2 linked regions of the Drosophila melanogaster genome follow. The protein of the gene in region 1 purifies or fractionates together with the protein of each later gene. This does not show direct contact. Each region holds a gene or a part of one and is shown on either strand. Other genes may lie near its edges.

Evidence for each region.
Region 2: the proteins of HemK2 (region 1) and CG31199 purify together in Drosophila melanogaster (affinity purification with mass spectrometry, with the first as the bait; one large-scale study listed by BioGRID). This does not show direct contact.

Annotation. Positions count from the first base shown.
Region 1 is NT_033779.5:2,754,114-2,765,206, forward strand, and holds HemK2 (HemK methyltransferase 2), read right to left. Parts: upstream 5,565-11,093; 5' UTR 5,535-5,564; coding exon of another isoform or gene 5,130-5,534; 5' UTR 5,112-5,129; coding exon 4,437-5,111; 3' UTR 4,314-4,436; downstream 1-4,313. Other genes in the region: Bacc (bacchus), read left to right, coding at 1,895-2,057, 2,132-2,181; Snapin (SNAP associated protein), read right to left, coding at 5,130-5,534; Tnpo-SR (Transportin-Serine/Arginine rich), read left to right, coding at 5,920-6,033, 6,104-7,195, 7,391-7,557, 7,611-8,975, 9,038-9,098; Snx21 (sorting nexin 21), read right to left, coding at 10,193-10,328, 10,392-11,085.
Region 2 is NT_033777.3:20,737,297-20,748,123, reverse strand, and holds CG31199 (uncharacterized protein), read left to right. Parts: upstream 1-4,254; 5' UTR 4,255-4,358; coding exon 4,359-4,539; intron 4,540-4,596; coding exon 4,597-5,297; 3' UTR 5,298-5,324; downstream 5,325-10,827. Other genes in the region: CG42322 (uncharacterized protein), read right to left, coding at 109-287, 352-760, 821-1,303; CG31200 (uncharacterized protein), read left to right, coding at 2,801-2,852, 2,921-3,037, 3,160-3,845.

The sequences.
Region 1 (11,093 bases):
TCTATAACTCATACGCTTGGCCTTATTTATCAGTCGCTGTGGCTACGGGAATTGCAAATGCAAACGCAAACGCAATTCAGCGCGATGCCAATGCACTCTCTCAATGAAAACACACATTGCCGGCCGGTAAATTACTCATGTCATGTTTGGCCACTTTATTTTTGGTTAGTATCGCCAAGAGCACGCGGTATTCGAACAAGTTTTGGGGGCCTGAAGCAGTCGCATTCCATAATCGAGTAGCACATTTCTTGATAAAAATAAAATAGTTCGGCCAGTAAGGCAGATAAATTGGCAAATCAAGCGCTTTTCTCAGACTCAAACTCGAAATAAAAATGTACAGTTTAACGGGAGCGTTCTCTCGCTCTCTCTCTCTCTCCCCGGAGAAAGATAGATACAAATAGAGAGCGCTGCTAACTCTCTCCCTCGTAATTTGTATACACACCGTTTTGTCTGTTTGCGTATGTGCTTACATTTATCTTTCACTTTTTTTTCTGCTCTGCCTTATGCGTATTTATTTTAGTACATAAAACAAGACGGCTAAACAGGGTGTCGCAAAAGTTAGTTGGGTTTCTTCGGGATTCAATTGAATAATGATCATTATCCCATGATCATGAATTAGTTGAGATACGTTTGGCACGGATAATTCTTAGTGGTACAGTAACGAATTGTATAGATTTCAAGAATAGTTTTGAAAATTATTCGTTGGTTTCCATATCTTTCGATTCCAAACAACAGATTAGCTTTTGTCCCTATAAATGTATCTTCACGCTTAGAAAACACAAACTAAAACCTCTAACTAAATCAAGATACATTGATTACCCAGTTATAACACCAGTAATAGTAGGCTTAGTTCTTGCCAATACAGATACACCCTGTTCGTCTTAATCCTCTATTGGCCTTTTCTCGAGTTCTGGGTCTCGTGACTTATGCTGTAAGCGAAGTGAAAAAGGGGGGCGATGGGTGGCCATTAATTTTGCACATTTTTCCACAGTCCGATTGTTTTTCGCTTCTTCCGCTTTGTAACAGTCTGGTAAATAGGGCCCTTGTGTTGCGGCTTCTCTTCGACTTGGGAACGTGACCGCCTATATACTGCCATAAACCATATACCATTATGTGTATCTTGTTGTTGGTTGGTCAGCGGCAAAAGTTAAACCCACGCATGTTGTTGTTTTGCGCCTTTTTCGCTGCCGACGTCGCTGCAGCAGCTGTCGTTCGGATGGCTGTGAGTGAGAGCGAGAGATTCATTCATGCAGTTCAGGTACAGTTTACAGTGCTGCGGATTCAGATGCTCTCTCTCTGGCGCTCTCGCCCGCTCTCTATCTTACAGGGCACGCTTCGTTTCGTATCTCACGGATGCGGATACATATGTCGCTGCCGGCGTCGCTGCTTATTGTTTTTTTTTCCTTCCCCCTTATGTAGTAAATATGTCGCCTTGTACATACGGAGCACAGATGTAATGTAGCGCGGTTGCACTTGTAATCCACTCTCTCACGTACTCTCTCTCCCGCTGTCTCTTTTTGCCGCAGCGAATTACATTGGCGCGCGCATTTTTCAAATGTTTTTTTACGGCGAAAATAACGATTTTCGTCGCTGCTTGTTTTGTGTGCTGAAAATATACATTTTATGACTATGTACACACGCACAGGAAGTTGAGAGGGGTATTGGATGCCCTTGATCAAGGAGATGTGTGGGTTTGAGTTGGGCGCGTAGGACCATTTCGCTCCGTAATTCTCCCTAATATCCTTTAGTTTGTTTCTCAGATTAATATCAAAAATGCATAATTAATAGTGACGGGCCCCTTATTTCTGTTCAATAAACTTGCTTGTAATACAGTAAATCATCAGCGGAACAAAAACCAAAGGAACTCTACTAACTTCTCTTTTTTCGCTTCCAGGCCAAATCCGCAGAATCAAAGAAGGCCAAGAAGGCCGCGGCCGCCGATGGAGATTCCGATGAGGAAGAGGCTCTGGAGGAAATCATCGAGGGCGACAGTGAAATCGAGAGCGACGAGTACGACATCCCCTACGATGGTGAGGAGGATGACATTGAATGTGATGGTGAGTTCACGGAAGCACTTCCCTTTTCCACATCAATCTAATCCCCGGATTTTCCCTTTCCCTTACCCGCGCAGATGATGATGATGATAATGATGACGGTTCCGGCTCGGACGATCAGGCGTAATAATAATGTAGTCAAAAATACAAACAAAAACAAACAAAAATTTAAATTAATAATAAATAAAAGTTACAAGCAAAAACAAAACAAAAAAAATATAATAATAAACCAACAAGCAGAAAATAAACCACAACAAGGAGAAAATGAGGAGGAGGAGGAGAAAAAAACCACAAAAAAATCGCAAAAGTATATAATTTTTATGTTTAAGAAATAATTTTTTATTTCTTACCTTATTTTAATTGTATTTTATGTGTACTTTTTTTATAAAAAACTACAAAACAAACAAAAATTGTAATTGAAGGCATTTTCGTATAAACGCAACCTATACGGAATCCAACAAAAAGTAAACATCCCCACTATATACAAGAACAAAACAAAACCAAAATCTTTCTTTCCTTTATCTCATAAGTCCTAATTTAAACGCCCAGTTGATGCGTAAACCAAGATATACAAAGATTTCAAATGTAGCGTAAACGAAGCCCGCGAATTAAACACAGATACACTACACTCACACACACACACGATATTCAAATTCATTATTAAATTAGACGTTACATTTGTGAATGAATGATCGATCGAAAGAAGCAAAAATACAAAAGTGAACATTTGAAAATGAACATGATTATGAACATGAAAAAGAAACAGCAAATGCAATTAAATACAAAACAAATAAAACATAAAAATTGTATTTAAATAAATCGCAAAAATCATTGAAACCCCATACTCGACAAGCATTCAATGACACTCAAGTTTTAGCTATGGTTTCAAAAATTTCGCGCCCATTGTGGCCACAGTCACCCGAATTTCCCAAACCCAAGGCACTGGGACTTAGTTGGTCTTCGCTTTTGGGGCAAATACAAAAAAAAAAAACAAAAAAAAATGAAAGGAAAACATCGGGAAGTTTGAGTTCTAACCTTCTGTTTCGTTTCAGCATTTAACTATAAACTATGACTAATCTTAAGTACTTATGTCAGTATTAAAGCGAGGGCTTTATTATTCTGTTGATAAGTTGTGCGAGCGAGTCGTTGATAAGCCTAATTCATTTGTAAATTGTAAAAACCAACTCGAGAATCGAAAAACGAGCAAGAAAATAAACTTTTAATGTTACATGTATCTAATTAGTAAGGGCATCCAAACTATTTATACACACACCCCGTACGACGAGTTCTCAATATAAACATATAACGACTGATATTTCAAAACGAATCGTGCCCAGCTGGTCAATCACGGCACTCGACACCGAAACCACCCAACCACCACCATCCTCGAATCTAAACGATTTGTCCCGGAAAGACAGACCAGCCCAACATACACACACAATCCACCCACTGACCCAGATCCAAACTCCAAGAGGCTTAAAGCTGGTAATGCCAACCAGCAACTGAATAATTGAGTGCAATTAAACCAATATGCCCAAGATAAATCATCCGATTTGATAACTGATAAACAATAGCGATATCACAGACAATGTTAAAGAACTATGCATTTTTGTAAATACCAATTACTCATGTATCTGCTCCGTGCGAGAATAACATCTAGTAGCGCGAAAGGGCAAAAAGAGAAAAGAACCACGAATCGAAAACGAGAATAAGAAACAATTTTGAACGATGAAATAAATTATTGTAATTACGTAAAAGCGAAAACCGTACGTACATACCACCCATTTGGCATCTGTTCCGATGCCAATAAAAGTTTGTTTCAATTGCAGTTGGCCATTTTGGGTGGGGCAATCACCTCGCTTCGGTGTTCCCAGGGGTAGTAGTTCTTAGCCAGGAGCATGTACGTATGTAGGTACATAATTCATAGATTGGCCGCCCCTACATTACTCCGATCCATCCCTTCCATATCCCAGTTTTCGTTCGGGGGTTGACGAGCTGGTTCCCACAATCCTCCCTATGAAAGAAATCATATACTAAGGGATGATGGAAAAATTCAATCGGAAATTTCCTTTGATTAAGTACCTTTTTCGGATTGAAAATCGATTAGCCTTAGCAGATGCCTATTAAAAAAACGAATGATGAAATTCCGGGCTCTTCGTTGGGCAAATGAAGTTGAGCTACTTTTATATTCAAATTCAAATATAAGCGCAAAAATTTCTAAAAGTTTAAGAGCTTTTAAGTTTCATAAGCCATTTCTTTCATTTATTTCAACTTTTATTAAAATTATTCTCCATATTATTTAGTATCAAATTTAAGAATAAACGCCTAAAAAAGTTTATCTTTTAATTAAAATACAACTTTAATTTGATGCTATTGCACGAGTCATGATGATGCCAAGTACCTGGTGACCTTCAGTATGCACAAATGCTCGCCAGGAATGCGTCGCTCCATGAACTTAACAGCCCGGAACTGGAGGCCCTCTAAGTATTTGATAATCTCCTCCGGCTTGTTCTCCCGCAGCAGGAGTAGGTAGAGCACGCCTCGAGGCGAAAGAATGTCATCCAATTGCTTGAGTAGAATGTCCGTGACGCGTCGCCCGTCCTGTCCACCAGCCCAGGAGAAAACCAGATTGCGATCCGTTGAGGATTCGCTGTGCGAATCGAACTGTTGCGTCTGCAGCTCCTCGTCACTGGTGACTACATAGGGCGGATTGAAGAGCAGCACGTCCACGGATCGCGGACGCAGTGCATCCGCTAGGCTGCAGCGAATGCTATCCAAGCGAGCGCCATTCCGAGTCGCAGTTCTTCGAGTGGCATTGCAGGCTTTGGGATTGATATCCGTAGCTAGGCACAGCGAAAAGCCAGCCAGTTTCTTGGCCAGCGCCGTGATGATCACACCCGAACCGGAGCCCAGTTCGACGCAGAGACTCGGCTGTAGCCGGTCCAGGTACTCCAGATCCTTTTCCAGGGCATCCAGCAGCAGGAACGAGTCCTCCGCTGGCTCGTAAACGTGCTCGAAATCTTCTGGGCTCAAGTGGTCGGTGTAGGGCGTCTCCATGACGAACAGTAATTGGATTTAGGATATGTTGGTGCTGAGCGCGGAATCGAGAAGCGCCTGTCGCCGCCGCTGCTCCTTCTCTATCAGCTTGTGCAGACCCGTCAGCCGCTCCTGGCTGGTCACCAACACGTTGCTTATGACCGTCACCTTGTGCTTGACGTTCAGCAGCTCCTTCACCTTGTCCGCGAACTCGGGTATCTGACTCTGCGCCTTTTCGATGTCCCTCAGCTGGGCGGCCAGTGCATCCAGTTGGCCACGCAGCTCAGCCTGCAGCTGGATGGTGGAGGCCACGCGCTCGTCCAACCGCTCGATCGTCGGCTTGAAGAGATTGGTGATGCCCTCGGCGAGGATGTCGCGCGTGGGATTCGTGCAAAAGTTCTCCGTGTTCTCCTCCAAGGAAGTCACGGTGCTGTCCGAATCCATTGCAGAATTCTGATCAGAAAACTGATTAGAGATGTTGTTGCGAGCAACCAATGGTATCGATGTATCGACTACATAGGGGTGGCAAGTATTAAGATATAAAAACCGAGTAGCTTTATTGCTCAAAAAACGAATTCACATAAGCTAAAAAATATTTGACTGTAAAAATATTTTAATTATTTTTAATGGTCCTTAATGTTTGACGCACTTGACAACCCTGAATAATTTCAAAAAGTCCTGCAGACTATCGGACATTCACCTTTCAAAGTTATCGCATGCCACCTCCTTGCGTTATCGATACACGGGATGTACGCAATCAGCCATCGCTAATAAAGTATAATAATAAGTAATTAAGAAATTTTATGCGCTGATTAAAGCTGCCGATGAAATGGATACGTACTCGGTGGACGTGGTGTACCAAGCAATCAGCGCCCTCTTCCAAGGCAACAATCCCAAGGAGCAGGAGAAGGCCAACAAATGGCTCCAGGACTTCCAGAAGTCGGTGAGTGATAATCGCCCGGTGTACGAAACCTTCGTGCGATTGCTAAGTTTTTTTTTGGACTTCCTTAAAGATCTATTCTTGGACGATTGCGGACGAGCTGCTTCACCAGAAACGAGACCTGCACGCCAACTACTTTGCTGCGCAGACCATGCGGAACAAGATACAGAACTCCTTCAGCGAACTGCCACCGCACACGCACGAATCTCTGCGGGATTCACTGATCACACACATAGGCCAGATCGACGAGCAGACGGACAATGTGATTGTGACGCAGCTCAGTCTGGCGGTTGCCGATCTGGCCCTGCTGATGGCCAGCTGGCGGGAGCCGATCAACGATCTTCTGGTGACACTGGCGCCACATCAGTGCGCCATCTGGCCCCTGCTGGAGGTGCTCAAGGTGCTTCCCGAGGAAATAGACTCACGGTATCTGCGGCTGGGCGCCAATCGGCGCGAGGAGGTGCACAAGCAGCTGGACGCCAGCGCAGAGTGTGTCCTAAAGTTCCTGTGTATGTGCCTACAGCGGGAGGATCTCGACCAGCAGCGCGTGTGGAATGCGGCGTTGCGCACCTACAGTGCCTGGCTGGTGATCCATGCCTTTCCCGTCTCGCACGTGTACAACAACGCCCTCACACAGCTGGCCTTCCGGTTGCTCTCGCTGCCGGAGACCAGTGGAAAACTGCACGACAATGCCACCGAATGCGTGTGTGCGCTGCTCTCCTGCATAAACACACGACAGGATGGCGCCAGCGATCCGGAGTCCTCTTTCGAGGCACAACTCTTTGGAGCTGTCTGCATGCTGGAGACTCCCTATCACTTGAGTGTGGCGCACGAGGACACCGACAAGACGATCAACTACTGCCGAATTTTCACCTCGTTGTGCGATGCCTTCTTCTACGATTTATTGGCCGATGCCCAGAAGCCACACTACAGTTTGAAAGGACTGGATCTTGTGCTGCTTTGCGTCGGACACTTCGACTACGAGGTGGCCGAGATCACCTTCCACCTGTGGTACAAACTCTCCGAGGATCTATTCCAGCGCAACGAGGATAAGCTGACGGTTCTATTCCGGCCGCACATCGAGCGGCTGATCAGCGCCCTGTTTCGCCACTCGCAAATGGAGAGCGACCACGACGGGCTCATCGAGGAGAACAACAATTTCTTTGTGAGTGTGTGATATTGAGAAATTTTAGCAGTTTTCTTTGAAGTTGGGTATTTTAATTGAATAGGCATTTATGGCTAGAGTCGGTTTATTTAGAAATGAGTACAAGAAGTTTGATTAGTTTTCTACATTATCAACGTTAAATTAATATAATGCCTTGAAGTTAATTGTACTAATCTTAAAACAAATGAATTGCAGGACTTTCGACGCAAGGTCTCAGATCTAATAAAAGACGTGGCCTTCATAGTGGGATCTGGAGCGTGCTTCAAGCAAATGTTTCATATCCTGCAAGCTCCAGAAACTACGTGGGAGTCCACAGAGGCAGCACTGTTCATTATGCAGAACGTGGCCAAAAATATACTTCCGTACGTATGCAGCTGTTTATTACCATGTCAGATTTACAATACTTACCTTGCAGAGATGAGAACGAAGTGATCCCCAAGGTGGTGGAGGCGATTCTCAATATGTCGGAGCAAACGCACATAGCAGTTAGGTACACTGCGATTCTACTGATCGGCGAACTGTGCGACTGGATTGAGAACCATCCTGAATCGCTGGAGGCAGTCCTAAACTTTTTGCTGTACGCCCTGCAGCAGAAAAATGGCTTGGCGCCAGCTGCGGCCATTGCATTGACTTCCATTTGCTCCGCCTGCCGACAGAAGATGGTGTGCCATATAAGCGGTCTTGTGGAGATCGCCCGCAGTCTGGACAGCTTTCAAATAAACAACGATGTGGCAATAGGATTGCTAAAGGGCATATCGCTTATACTGACACGCCTGCCACGCGAGCAACTGCAGCCTGCTCTGCGGGAAATCGTCGGCTTCCAGCTGCAACCACTGGCACAATTGGTGGACAGCACTGGCAGTACTCCTCAAAAGGGAGAGCGCACCGATCCCGTTTACTGGATAGACCGCGCCTGCGCCATTATCCGACACACGAATCCAGACGTTCCCGACAACGTGGAGCACCCCACGGTAGCTATTCTGAACGACGCCTGGCAGCTGATATCGCGGGTGATGGATAAGTACCAGAGTGATCTGCGTATCATGGAGCGCACCTGCCGACTGATTCGCTACGGCATTCGGATGGTGAGAAAGCAAGCAATGATGCTGGTGGAACCGCTGATCAAACAAATGGTCGTGCTGTATTCTGTGCAGCACCACAGTTGCTTCCTCTACGTGGGTTCCATACTGGTGGACGAGTTCGCAAAGTCCAGCGAGTGCATTGGCGGACTTTTGGAGATGCTTCAGGCATTTATAGAGCCCACATTTGGCCTGCTTCAGATGGAGAACGGTCTAAAAAATAACCCCGACACAGTGGATGACTTCTTCCGTTTGGCATCGCGTTACCTGGACTGTTGTCCCCACCAGCTGCTCCAGAGCAGTCTCATCACGCCGATCTTCCAGTGTGCGCTAATAGCCTGCTCCTTGGACCACCGCGAGGCCAACTCGTCTGTGATGAAGTTCTTTATCAACCTGTTGGTTTGGGGCAGATCGAATAACCATAGCCGGAACACCGAGTGCCGTCCCTTGGTGGTGGAGCTGGCCAGTCAGCATGGCGGTGCTCTGGTGATGAACCTGATCCAGGCATCCGTCTTTCAGCTGCACTCCTACATGCTGGTGGATGTGGCCGAGGTGCTCCACGAACTGAAGCAGGTGGTGGGCAACGAGCGGATGCAGCCCTTCCTGGCCCAGGCGCTGGAGGCACTGCCCAAAAAGAACAGCGGTGGCTACGTGACAGCCACGCAGCAACAGCTGGACGAATTTAGCAGCACAGTTCTGAGGTGAGGATTTGCCATCAGACGTTTTGTATTTTATTCATAATATATTATATTTCCTTTTGTAGAGCGGACACAACGAAAGCCATTTCGCAAGCCTTGAAAACCTTCACGCGACTCTTTCGCTAATCAGGGAGATGCATGAGTTTGGATTCGGATGATTCTGTACATTTTGAATGATGTATGTAATGTGGCAAGGGTGCTAGGAATTTTGTTAAAAACGCACGTACCCCTCTATTTATAATATAGTTGAATCGATTGTTTGACGTAATAAGTTATATATAATTTGAATTGTACATTTTGAGTGCGGTCAAGAGATCCTCACAGAATTTAGCAGTAAGTTATTTACATCAGCGTGCACTCCTAGCTCTAAGTTTAAAACCTAAAATGACTCACAAACAAGCATAGGCATAAGGCAAACCATTAAATATATACCATTTAGATATAATTGACCACATTTGTTCTGCAAAACACTTGAGTATAATATTTATTTATTGAAAAAGCAATCACAAGACATTGGGCTGGAAGAAAAAAAAAACAAAAAAGTCTGGGAGCTGCGTTGTTCGTTTGACTTGTCTGATATTTCCGCAGGCTGATATGGAATTCTGGGCATGGATTTTGAGACACTGCGTCATGGACATTCGATGATGGATTTGTGAATTATGTACGTTGCACGGCTTAATCACAACTCCCACTGGGTACAAACTACAAACTAGACGATTGAAGAGATATCAAACAATACGTAACATGAAACATAAATATGCTTAGACTAACCTTTAAGTTACCAAAGCAGTACGTTACGAACAGAACCTTTTTGTTTCGAATTACATTTAGTCGCAATATTAATGTAAGCTATTAATAAGAACCAATTTTAGTTAAATTATTTGAAAATCTTTGATTTAGTTATAAAAATCTAACATTTTAATTTGAAAATCAGAGTTTTAAAATAACGAATTAAACATTTAGACGAAGAGACGTACATACTTTTTTTTTTTAATTGTTGTCTTAAATTGGTTATGCTTTGTGACACATTGTTCGCACGAACGGACTACTTTGGAGGACAAAGGGGGTACATATGGGCTCTACCTCAAAGGTTGATAAATACTTCTTTCACCTTAAAACTAATTGCACACATTATCTAATTGCACTTTTCGCCGGACAGCTAAAGACTACAGAACAAAATATTAAACTAATGGATGAAAATTGTAGCGGAGATTCACGATTCAAATTGTTTCAGTGCGAGGATCGATCTTGTGTATAGCCTGCATGAGGCTCTCGGTGTTCGCCGTGTTGATGCCCTGCTTGGACATGTCAGTCAGTCGGTCGGTGATTGGCTTTTGGTCCTGGCCGCGCTGCCACCTGAAAGGATGAGATATTCAGATTAGCCTTTTTCTTAATGCGGAAAGATTCGATTGGACTCACCACAGATGGGCGCAGGTGTGAAGCAGGGGAATGTAGAGCGGCAGCAGATCAATATCGCACAACGTCTCGAAGCGACTCAGTGCCAGCAGGGCCCACCTCTCGGCCGCGTGATGAGGCACTGGGGATGAGGTGCAGGCAGCCACTAGACGGCAGAGTATCAAAAGCACCGGCCTCGATCGATTCATGTATATCTTGTTCAGCAAGCGGAAACAGTTCTCCAGAATAGGTATGGCCATTTCGTTACGCCGCTCATCCAGAAACTGGCACGCCCTGGTCAGTTCGTCGTGCTGCAGGAAGCGCAGGAAGTACTCCGAGTCCCGGAGCATCGCCTGGCTTGCCACATACGTGAGGAATGCCTCGAAGGCTGCACTCCGTTCGCCGATCAGCTCGGACTTGAAGTTACCCATCAGGACCTTGGCTGGGAAGTACTTGTTGGCCATCTCCGCCGGATGCTGCCGCTTAAGGCCCAGATAAAGCTCCCGAAAGTCGGTGTATCGGCGCTCAATCTTTGCCGGCTGAGTGTCCTCCGTGGCTCCATCCTGCTTAACAGTGAGCTCATAGACCACGAACCGCTTGATCTTCACATCCTCGCCATCGGGCGGCATTATGTGGGCCAGCAAGATGTCAAAGCGGAGCACGGTGCTCCCATCCGTGGTCGGCTTATACTCAGCACTTGTGGCTCGCTCCCAGACACCTAAGAAG
Region 2 (10,827 bases), on another chromosome or scaffold:
GATGTTTGTGAAGGATTTTATCTTTGTATAATGCAGTAATTAATTAAAATTACACGACTTTAAAATTATAACTTTTAAATTTCAAATATGCAGATATAAAGCACTCACTCTAACGCCCACGAACTGCTCGTGCAGGATCACCCAGGATAGCAGGTACACGCATGCCACGTTGGTGGCGAACAGGGCCAGGGCATCCGTGGCGTAGAGGACGTGCAGGGACAGGGTGTACAGGTAGGTGGTGACCAGCCACAAAATGCAGAAGCAGAGGCAGCGATTGAGGAAGCGACCTGCGGACCAAGAGCCAGTCAAAAGAAAGTTTTCATAGGTGTCGCACGACTAAATCCAACTCACCCACTGTGAAGCCGCGCTCCCGGAATCCTCGCAGCACGTCGCCAAGGATGTCGCTCAGCTTCTCGCACTTGCGGGTGGAGACCAGACCCAGCAGGTAGATGGGGAAGAAGAGCAGCGAGAAGTTGGTGAAGAACCAGGCGGCGAAGAAGGGGGCGCTGAAGTAGACCGGCTGGCGCGGTGGTATGTTGAACATCTCGGTGGCGTCCTCGACGTGGTGCAGCGACGAGTCGCTGATGGCCAGTATATCCTCCAGCTCCGTGCTCAGGTCCGCGCGGCTCGAGGACGTGTCCTGGTCGTCGTTCAGCAAGTCGTCGTACGGAGCACGGTACTTGTACATGTACTTAATGCAGTGGGTGGCCCCCACCCACGACGCGGTCATCAGGATGGTCACGCACACTCCGAAGTACATCTGTAAAGACATCGATCGCATAGCATTAAAATTGAGTGAATGATTCATAAGTTTTCCCACCTTCCGGGCCAGTTCGGAGCAGCATGACTCCTTGCAGGCCTGCAACTTTCGGAAGCGAAGCTCGGACTCCTCGCCGTGCCCGTTGGCTTGCTGCTGCTCCGTCTGGGTGTCGCTGGAGTCGCCGCCTCCGAAGTGGTGCGCCGCATTGTGGCTGCCCGGTGCGCTCGTTGGTGTGTCCGCCGGGATGATGACCACCTCATTGGGGTCCTGTTGGCTCGACGATATCGAGTCTTGGTGGGTTATTTGCGGATTGCTCGAGGTGAGCACGTTGCTGAACCCGCAGCTGCCCGCTGCTCCGCTGCCACTGCCGCCGTTTTGGGCAGACGAACCGGGGGCCACTGCCGTGCTGCTGCTGGCTCCCGCCCCGCCGGTGCTATTGTTGCTGTACGGTCCATTCGTCGAGGAGTCGCCGGTGACCACCACGGAAGGAGTGCGCACTCTTTTCGGATTGAAAATAGCTGGAATTTCGCCGTCGCGCGTCATGCTATCATCATTACCGAGCTCCTCTGTCGCTCATAGTGATCCGGTCCTGCAAAATCAATAAATCATAAATACCAGAATCTAGCAAGCTTATTCTTTATGTATATTTTTGGCCTTAATATCACCTTCCATACCTAAATGTATGCCTTCACTTTTGAACGCAGAGTAAACTTAAGGTTGAAACTGGACTTGATGTACTTTTTAAAGGAAGCAATAGTCCTCGGCCCGCGGCCTAATAAATGATTCAGTTCGATTCGACCAGCCATGTTCCAGCACTGCTGCAAAGGCTAAGCAGTCTCGAATCAGGCTGTTCACGTGCTTCCAGCGATTAAAGATTGAGGAACACGCAAATGGGGGGCCATTTCTCGACTCTTTACAAGTGAAAGGCGCACCCAAAGCCCACGCAGCTTGTTCAGGGTCCGAGCAATTTGCATGGGCCCCACTTTTTACCACTGCCCTCATCCCAGGATATAGCGTTGGCCAAACTCAAGGCTAGGGCAGCCAAGTTTTACGAGCACCGCCGCACAACCAGCCAACCAACCAACCAACCAAACAGCCTGCCAGCCGGCCGTTCATTAAAGTCCAGACCCGACCAGGAGCACATTGATTGGATGGCCACAAAGGCGAGGGACGGGCTCATAACAATGCGAATTATGAACGCCCCAGCTCAAGCAGGTCAAGTTGAGTGGACAATAAACTGCCAACCGGATCTCGCCGGCAATTTGTAAGCGTTCTTAGTAGAGTGTTAAGTCCAGCCCCCCACCACCACTACTACCACCAGGCCGGATGAGTTACAATGTCCTTCGGTGTCCTTCACCTTCGCATCCCATCGAGCAGCTTGTGCGCTTGCCTTCGATAATCGTATTCTAATTGAAACATTAATTATTCAACCTAGTTGAGGCTCCTAGCAGGCTCCCAGGGTAAGAGGGCGCGAGGGGAGATTCCAAGAGTCTAATGGCTATATAATGAAGGTCCTAATAATTGCCTGTAATTTTAAGCGGTTAAGAATAATATTCCATCGATTTCCAAGCAGTCGAGCAAAACCAAAATGATTTGAAATCCGCAACTCTGGCATTTTGCACAATTATTTTAATATGCCTAATATGGGACTATATACAGCCGATATGCCGTCTATTTGAGTTAATAAAATATTTTAATTTAATTTATGATTGGGGAACTCCAATACTAGTTGTAAGTTGAAGGTGAGTTAGGTCTGTGAGCAAATTTTGTTGGCTAAGAAGTGGCATATCTTCATATCTTAATATCTTTAATATGACTTCAAAGAAAGTAGTCAGACTAAGGAAGATTCAAAAAGATTAAGGTTTACCAAAAATGCTTGATAGTCACACTGAGAATCTTAATAATAAACAACGAGAGAGCGGGAGATTGTTAATTAATTATTCACAGCAAAAGGAAACTGCGCTCTACGCGATCTCATACTATTCAATTCAATTCTGTTCGATTAGTTAACTCTGAGCACTTGAGCACATCGTCATAAAAATGCTTCACAGCGGAAAACTTGTTCAGCTTTTGACTCTGGCTTGGCTAGGCGGTTAGTAAAATTGAAACAGTTGTATGTTTACTACGAGTATTTATTAAAAACGCTATATACGTTTTCAGCATTGACGATGGCAGAATTTCGATGCGGTCGTCTGGATGAAAAGCTATTGTACACCACCAACGAGCAGGCGGAACCCTCCGAGAATCCCTGGGTGGGCATTCTGCTGGAGGATCAGGGTCAGTTAACTTTAGAAGTGTTAACTATGAAAAGCCCCCTTCTAAAGCCCCAAGTTAATAATTAATAACATGACCTATGCTTTTGCTAATGCCCTTTGTGTCCACCTTCGATGATTTTCTAGGAAATCGGTACGAGAATACAAGGTGCTCCGTAGTTATTATTAACGAGCTGCACATCCTCAGTACTGCGACGTGCGTAAAGCGCTTTAGCCAACGATCCGGAGACACCAAAGCCGTGGCAATGTTGGGCGTTTGGGACGAGACTGACTCCCCGGAGGAGGAGCTGTCGTGCAACGACAAGGACTTCTGTGTGCCGGGGCCTGAGCTGTACAAGGTGGTGGAGATCAAGGTCCATCCGCAAACGGACAAGGACACGGGGGACAACGACTTGGCCATCCTTCGGCTGGAAAAACCAGTCGAGTGGACCAACTGGGTTCAGCCGATCTGCTTGGAGGGCACTTCGGAACCGGAAACGCTGACCAATCGCAACCTGCACTACACCGGATTCAACCATATGGCCTCGGAGAAGGGCAAGGGGTTGGCCATGACAGTATCTACTCAAAAGTGCAAACAATTGACATCCTCCAGCGTCCTAGTACCGGTGAACCAGCTGTGCGGCTATCCCGTGAAGAGGACCAAGTTCTATCCGGGAGCACCACTGATGGACATCGATGTGCGAGATGAGAAGCCGCACAACTTCTACCTGGTGGGCATTCTGGTCCGGAACGTAGATGCCGGACAGGCTACCACTCAAGTCTATCAGAATGTCCGACGCGCCCGCTCCTGGATAATGGAAAATTTGAAGTAGAAAGTACAACTTGTTATGTGAATACTCAATAAACTATTCAACATGAGGAAGTAAAATGTTGTGGGTTCAGTGAAATAACTGATGCATCGTGACGGGAACTGCCCAGGGATTCGCATCGGAAACGGGTTTTCGATCGGTAGCCGTAATGTAATCTTACACCATTAATTAGATACGTAGAATAACAGGTAGTTGGAAGAGTTAGTTGAAAATTTTAACAAACATTACACGGAAAGAAATCAACTCATTCTTGGAGAAGGGAAATGTGCTGATCAAATAGTATTAGTAACACTAATAGTAATATTTAAAATCTTAAAATATTTTATATAAAGGTTTCGAAATACACTTCACTATTGATTTCATATATATTTTAAAAAATTGTAAAAACAATTGTATTTTCGTTCTAGTGTTCCTGCTAAGCTCTATCGATCATAAGCTTCTGGGTAAATCCCCTGAGCAACATGCATTGTCTGTTTTTCCAGCTCCCAGTCAGTTGACTTTGAGCTGCGCTTCAGAATGCTTGGTAGAATCGCAGTTTTATTATTGCTCGTCGGTCTTTTTGGCCCGGAAGTTCGGTCGGCGAAAGTGAATGATGACCAGTGCGGTGCATTCGACGAAGATCAGATGCTCAATATGCAAAGCACCTTCGCCATTCCCACGGAGCACCAGTGGGTGGCCCGGATAGTGTATGGCAAGGGTAAGAATCTCTGAGCTGCTCAGTTAATCCGAAATACAACTTCGTTTAATACTTCAGGGTTTGAGGGCAAGATTCGGGACAATGGATGTCTGGGCGTGCTGGTATCGAAGCGCACTGTCTTGGCGCCCGCCCACTGTTTTGTCCAGTACAACGGAGTAGCGGAGGCCTTCTCCGTCCACCTGGGTGTCCACAACAAGAGTGCTCCGGTCGGAGTGCGAGTCTGCGAAACGGATGGCTATTGCGTGCGTCCGTCGCAGGAAATCAAGCTGGCCGAGATAGCCATCCATCCGGACTACGACTCGCGAACCTTAAAGAACTCCCTGGCGGTGCTGACTCTTCAGCGAGACGCAAAGATCTACCCAAATGTAATGCCAATTTGCATGCCACCTCCAAGCCTGCTCAACGAGACCCTGGTTGCTCAGACGTTTGTAGTAGCTGGTCTTCGCGTCTTTGAGGACTTCAGACTAAAGACCTGGGTAAACACGCTGAGTCGCGGCTTCTGTCAATCGAAGGTCAAGACGCTGGTGACCAGCAGCAACACGGTTTGTGGCTACCACAAGCAACCGGTAGCTTATTACTTGGGCGCACCTCTAGTGGGGTTGCAGAAGAAGGGGCACGTCACTCAGAACTACTACCTGGTGGGCATCATGATCGACTGGCGCTGGGAGAACAACCGCATCATGTCCAGCTTTCTGGCCATACGCAACTACATGGACTTCATCCGACAGAACTCCAACTCACTGATTGTACGCTCCTGAACCTCGAATAAAGTTAAGAGAAACGCCAGCTGCCAACAGGTCTTGCTGGGGTGTTAATTATTCAGCTCCAAGCCCGAGACTCGTGGCGCGCAGCTCGCAGCTCGAAGCTCGTGCAACATGCAAATTGTTCCTACACTTATAGCATTTTAATGAGCAGTCACTCAGCGCAGCGCAGCCGCCGCTAGTTGGCTAATGCGAGGAATATGGAAATTTCATCGCTTTCACCGAGAACCCCCCCGCCCTATAAAAGTATAAAAGTCTGGCAGTCGACAGGAGACAGCCGAAAATGTTGCAAATACCCAGCAGAACGGAAACGGAAGTCTAGGGGGCTGAATAGCCGAAGGCGCTGGGTGGTGGGGAGCAAGGATGTGGGCTGCCTTGCTATTGGACGAATGCCAAGACGTTGCCTTAACTGACAGAGTTCGAATATGTCTAGGAGGACAACGGAACGCTTACAGAGGGATAAAGTGGATAAATTAAAAAAAAACAAATATTCGCAAAAACATGACTTTATATCAGCAAAGTCATTAAATTCTCTTATCTGTGGGAAATTAAGTAAAAGAAGTTAAATCTTCGGCTGACTTCTTGCTTTTTGAAAATTAGGTGTTATTTGAATTGGCACCGTTTTATGTTTAAATACCAGTTTTTAAAACTAGTTGACAGGGAGTAGTTTTAGTGTAAAGGAATGCAAATAGTTTACCATTTTGATTTTCTTTGTGCACTTAATGGCGTATTTTAGGTAAAAGTTTTGTTTATGAGCTAAAGGGACATTGTTTATATCGAAAATTTTGCAACGAGTGTAGAGAACAAAACAACAAGGAGGATTGAATATTAAATTGCTGGAAAGTTTTGTCATTTATGATCACCCTTCTCTTCCCCGAGGTGTCGTCCAGCTAATACAGACACATCGCTTTTATCGCCGTGTTGGAACATTCTTTTGGGCGCCAAATTGCTCTATAAAGACGAGCTGGGGAAAGATGCGCTCGCTGTTTACTTTTGCCAAGAATAAAAATCACAATAAAATTTAAATTGCCAGACATGAGGGCCTCAAGATGAAGATGGGCAGAAAACGTGACCAAATGACCGACAATAGACGGGGATAAACATCGCATTCCTGCCTCAGTTTGAGGAGAAATGCGATTCAAAACAAAACAAACAGCTGAACGGGAGAGAAAGTGCGCCGGAGAATAGAGAAAGCAGCTCAGTCGCGAGAGAGAGAGAGACTGTCCCACTGAGAGGGCCCACAGCTTTGCGTGGGTGGTGTGCTGGCCAAAAGTAAACGAGCTTACAACAAAAACGGCGAAAAACAGCCAACAGTAAGCGTACAAACACACACCTCGGTCGAGGACACCACGCGGCGTATACGCAATGTGACACTTTTAGTGGTTATGGTCAAGCACAGCACTTGAGCGAGGGCAATGCGAGAAGGAAAACGAAAGTGACGCCAAAAACACAGCCAGTCAGACAGACACCTGCTCGACGGCAAAGGCAACCACAACGCCCGCCACCCGCCACCTGCCACTTGCCACCTGGGACACACGGAAACAAATTGCTAAACCCAAGTTCTATAGGGTCACGAAGGGTGCTACGTAGATTCAGGCGGTTCATTCGCCTTTTACCATGTAAATTAATAAATTTTAATAGCCTACTTAAGGGCAACACGTTTGTTAATTTAATATATTTAAATATTCGGCATCTTTCATGGATTTGAGTGATATGTTTTTATTGCATTCCCATATTTATATTTATTTAGGCACCTAAATGTTCGAAAAAGAATCGCCCGCCAAGATGACTTTATTTCGCTGGCTTGATCTGTTGCGATGTTCGTATGTGAATGTGGTCTTTGGGGCTTTGGGTTAGTGACTAGACCTTGAGGTTGGCGCACACCTTGACAGTAGTCGAAAATCTAGCCCAACCACCCACTTCGCCCACGGCTCAGAAACGGTTGTGACAACCTGGGACGGTTGAATTTTTCATATTGCCACGAAAACAGGGCAAGGGAAATTGCCTGGCGAATATCCGTTTATCTTGGCCAAAAGATAGCGGAAGGCCTGAAAAGTGTTTTTCCATGCTGCACAGCTGTCGCTTTGAATGTCTCCGAGTTTTTAATGGCCAGCGAGGCGTTTAATGTTTTTATATAATTTACTTAAGCACTTAATGTCATTTTCCCACGGCACGACCACATGGTACACAAACTTTACGCAATTCGTTGGCCTTCTCGAGCTCTTTTCTCTTATATAAAGATAGCGAGCGGGCCGAAAAGAACACAACTGGACTGGCGACACTGTTCTCCGCGGTCGAGCTCAGCCCTTTACTTAATTCAATTAAATGTGCAAAAATATGCTGGGTATAAATTTGGAGCAGCTCGCCAGCGAAACGCTGTACGGATACACAAAACGAAGGAAGCACACACAGATACACACACGCACACGCAGGCACACACGGGGATACACTTGCTCACATTTACACAGGCATTGGGTCTCACTCACGAGCGAAACGAACCGCTGGCTTGGCCCAAAAAAAGCAACTGCCACTTGAACGAGCCTTTTGACTTGTTTTCCTTCGACTTAGGTGGAAACTGTGACAGCAGCGTTTCTGGCGCTAGCTGCCGCTGGCGTTTTTCCAACTCTCCTTTTCTAGAGCACACGACGCGGCCGTCCTGGAAAGCGTCGTTCTCCGTCGTTTCTGGCCAGCAATCTCAAAGTCGACTGAACCGATTACTGAACTGAGCTGCCTTGCAAGTGGCCAAGTCGAAAGCTTTTCCTGTCTCTCCCAGCCTCTCTCTCTGAGCTACGCTTTCCCTCGCTCTCTTCGGTTTGGCAAAGAAAAACACTTGTTAGGAATTTTCTTTGCTCTTTTCTTTTTGCTTTTTGTTTTCGTTTTGCTTTTGTCGTTGCATTTCGCGGCTTCAAAAGGACTCAATAAATTGCTTGCGATTTGGGCTGATAAGGATTTTCACATTTCGTGATTGCCGGAGCAAAAATAAGTTATATTAAGCCAATAATATCGCTTTGCTTCATAGAAAAAAACGACAAAGAGAAATTTATCATGGCCATTTTATATTACTTTTCCAGTTAAGCAACTTCTTGTGTGCATAGATTTTATTTTGTTCTATTTACGTAGTCTAAAGAATATTATATTATTATATTTAAATTAGTATTAGTAAATGTTGTTTGTTTTATGCAACCAATTCAGAATTGATTTAAGGGATTACTACTAAAAACTTTTTGTTTTGGTGTCTCTTGATTGAGCAATCTGTGCAAAAGGTAAAACTTTAATTTATTATTTTAAGGAGCTTAACACAATTTTTTATTTCAAGCAACATCTTTAGAAAGTGTGATATTTCTTTCACATGATTTCCCTTTGACGAAAACATATCATATCTCCATGCTCCAATTTCATCAGTAATAAAATTTGACAAATTTGTCAAATCTATCTAATGTGTCTATTTAGGGCTGCCACCACAATCAGCATAGTTATGCCATAAAAAATAGGAGCTGCCTAGACGGTGCATCCATTAATACACCCATATGTTTATATAGATCGTAAAATCTTGATAAGGAGAAGACCCCATAAGCATAAATTCGTCAGGAGAAAGCATTTCGCAAGCCGACGACTCATCCCAGACAGCTTAGCATAAAATTTCGAAATCAGAACCCGCCAGCAAACGAGTTTTTCAGTCGCAGCCAAGAACTGAATGGCGTATTAATTGTGTAATCTATAAAAATCCATTTACATATGCATGGGCGAGATTGGCAGCTGCCAACGAGCCCCGCGGGAGATATGAAGATGGTCTCCAAATTGGGTTAGTTGGCTTAGTGTCGGCATGAGTTAGGGCCACCAACATGGCCATAGCTTTGGAAATGATCTGGGGCTCGGGACAATGCCATTACAAATCAATTTGGCTAAGACTGTGGCTAACCGTTCTGTGAACCAATAAAAACTAATCCAACGAGCTGGTCAAAAAGACAAAGGCATCACCGTCGAGCTGTTGACCACTGATTTCGCGATTCGGATGAGTTTCAGTTTCCCTTCGACCGGGAACGGTAACGGACGCATTCGAAATACTATATAGTAAGCCCGACGAACATATTGTATACAGCAATGCAGTGGCAATTGTTTACTGCCCTAGTGCTTTTTGTAGCATGGAGTTGTCCTTCGCAAGGAGTAAGGATATCCGCAAACGAGATGGAGCGACGCTTGCCGCAAAAGCAGGCAAAGATTGGGTGAGCAAACGTTGACGACTAACAATGAAGTTTTGATTTTCGACAGATATGACATTTATATAACCACTTTTTGGTATTTTCTGAACCTTATTTAATCCAATAATTCATAGTAGATTATTATTGCATATTATAGATATCACATAAACAATTCAAACAACTATATGCTTATATAGGATACATTTTTTTATAAAACAATTATATTTGAGTTGAAAAAAGTATAACTATGACATTTTAAAGTTAAACTTTGAACGAAATTTTTATTCTAGCTCCAGAAACTATCCCATCGAGTATGTCCTGTTGCCGAGTGCTCGTGGTGGATACAGAAGGCGCTATATTCATAGTCTGGGAAAAGCAGCTCCTACAACAACTGAACGCCCGTTGGTTCGTGTTTGGAATAGCTTCGTCCGCAGTGTTCAGCCCGCTTTCAGTTTCCGTAACCTGACCAATCCGTTGGCCAACTTCTTTAACGATGGCAGTACGAACATCATCGAGACGTCGCCGGTTTATCTGCAGTCCTACGATGAAGATCAGGAGCTGCAGCTTGAGGAACCAGCTCAAGTGGCCTCACAGGCTACCAAAAAACGCAAGCGAAAGCGCCGCAAGCAACAAAAGCGCCGACCGAGCTACGACTCGGCGGAGAACGATGATGCCTACAGCCCTTACGATCCCTACTTTGTGCCACCTTCTCCGCCGCGGTCCGCCGAGCCGATGTTCTTCTACGACACCAATTCCGGTAGCTACTACGGAGTACAGCGCTTCAGTCCTCAGGATTTCCAATCTAATTTTTACGGCAGCTTTTTATTCCGCCGCCTAGGGAGGCAGAGGATGTGGAAGGCGAGCATGAGGAAGAGGCGCCCGTAATGAGAAGACTCGGAACCAGAAAGGTGACCCTACTTCGACCACTGCCCCTATTGTCGGCCAAGGGCCAATCATTGACGAAGCTATTAGAAGTCAGCAAACCGGAGCATCCCATTGAGAATGAAGATGCAGCAGAGGAAACAGACAGCAGCGCACCGAGCGATGCACCGACTAGCGATGACGACGATGGTGATGTCGAAGCCCATTCACCGCTCTCCGAGAGCATGCGCAATACTCTTGGCACGTATATGCGCGACGATAGCCACACCCGCCAGCGCCAGAGACTCGCTAGCGATGCAGCAGGGGCTAACGATTCCGCCGCCAAAGTTTCGCCACGCCATCATCAACGACACCTTGCCCGGCTGAGCTCCTGGTAATCCATGCTAAGCTATAAACTATAAACTCTTTACTTATGGATGATCGTGTATTTATCGTATGTTACGTGC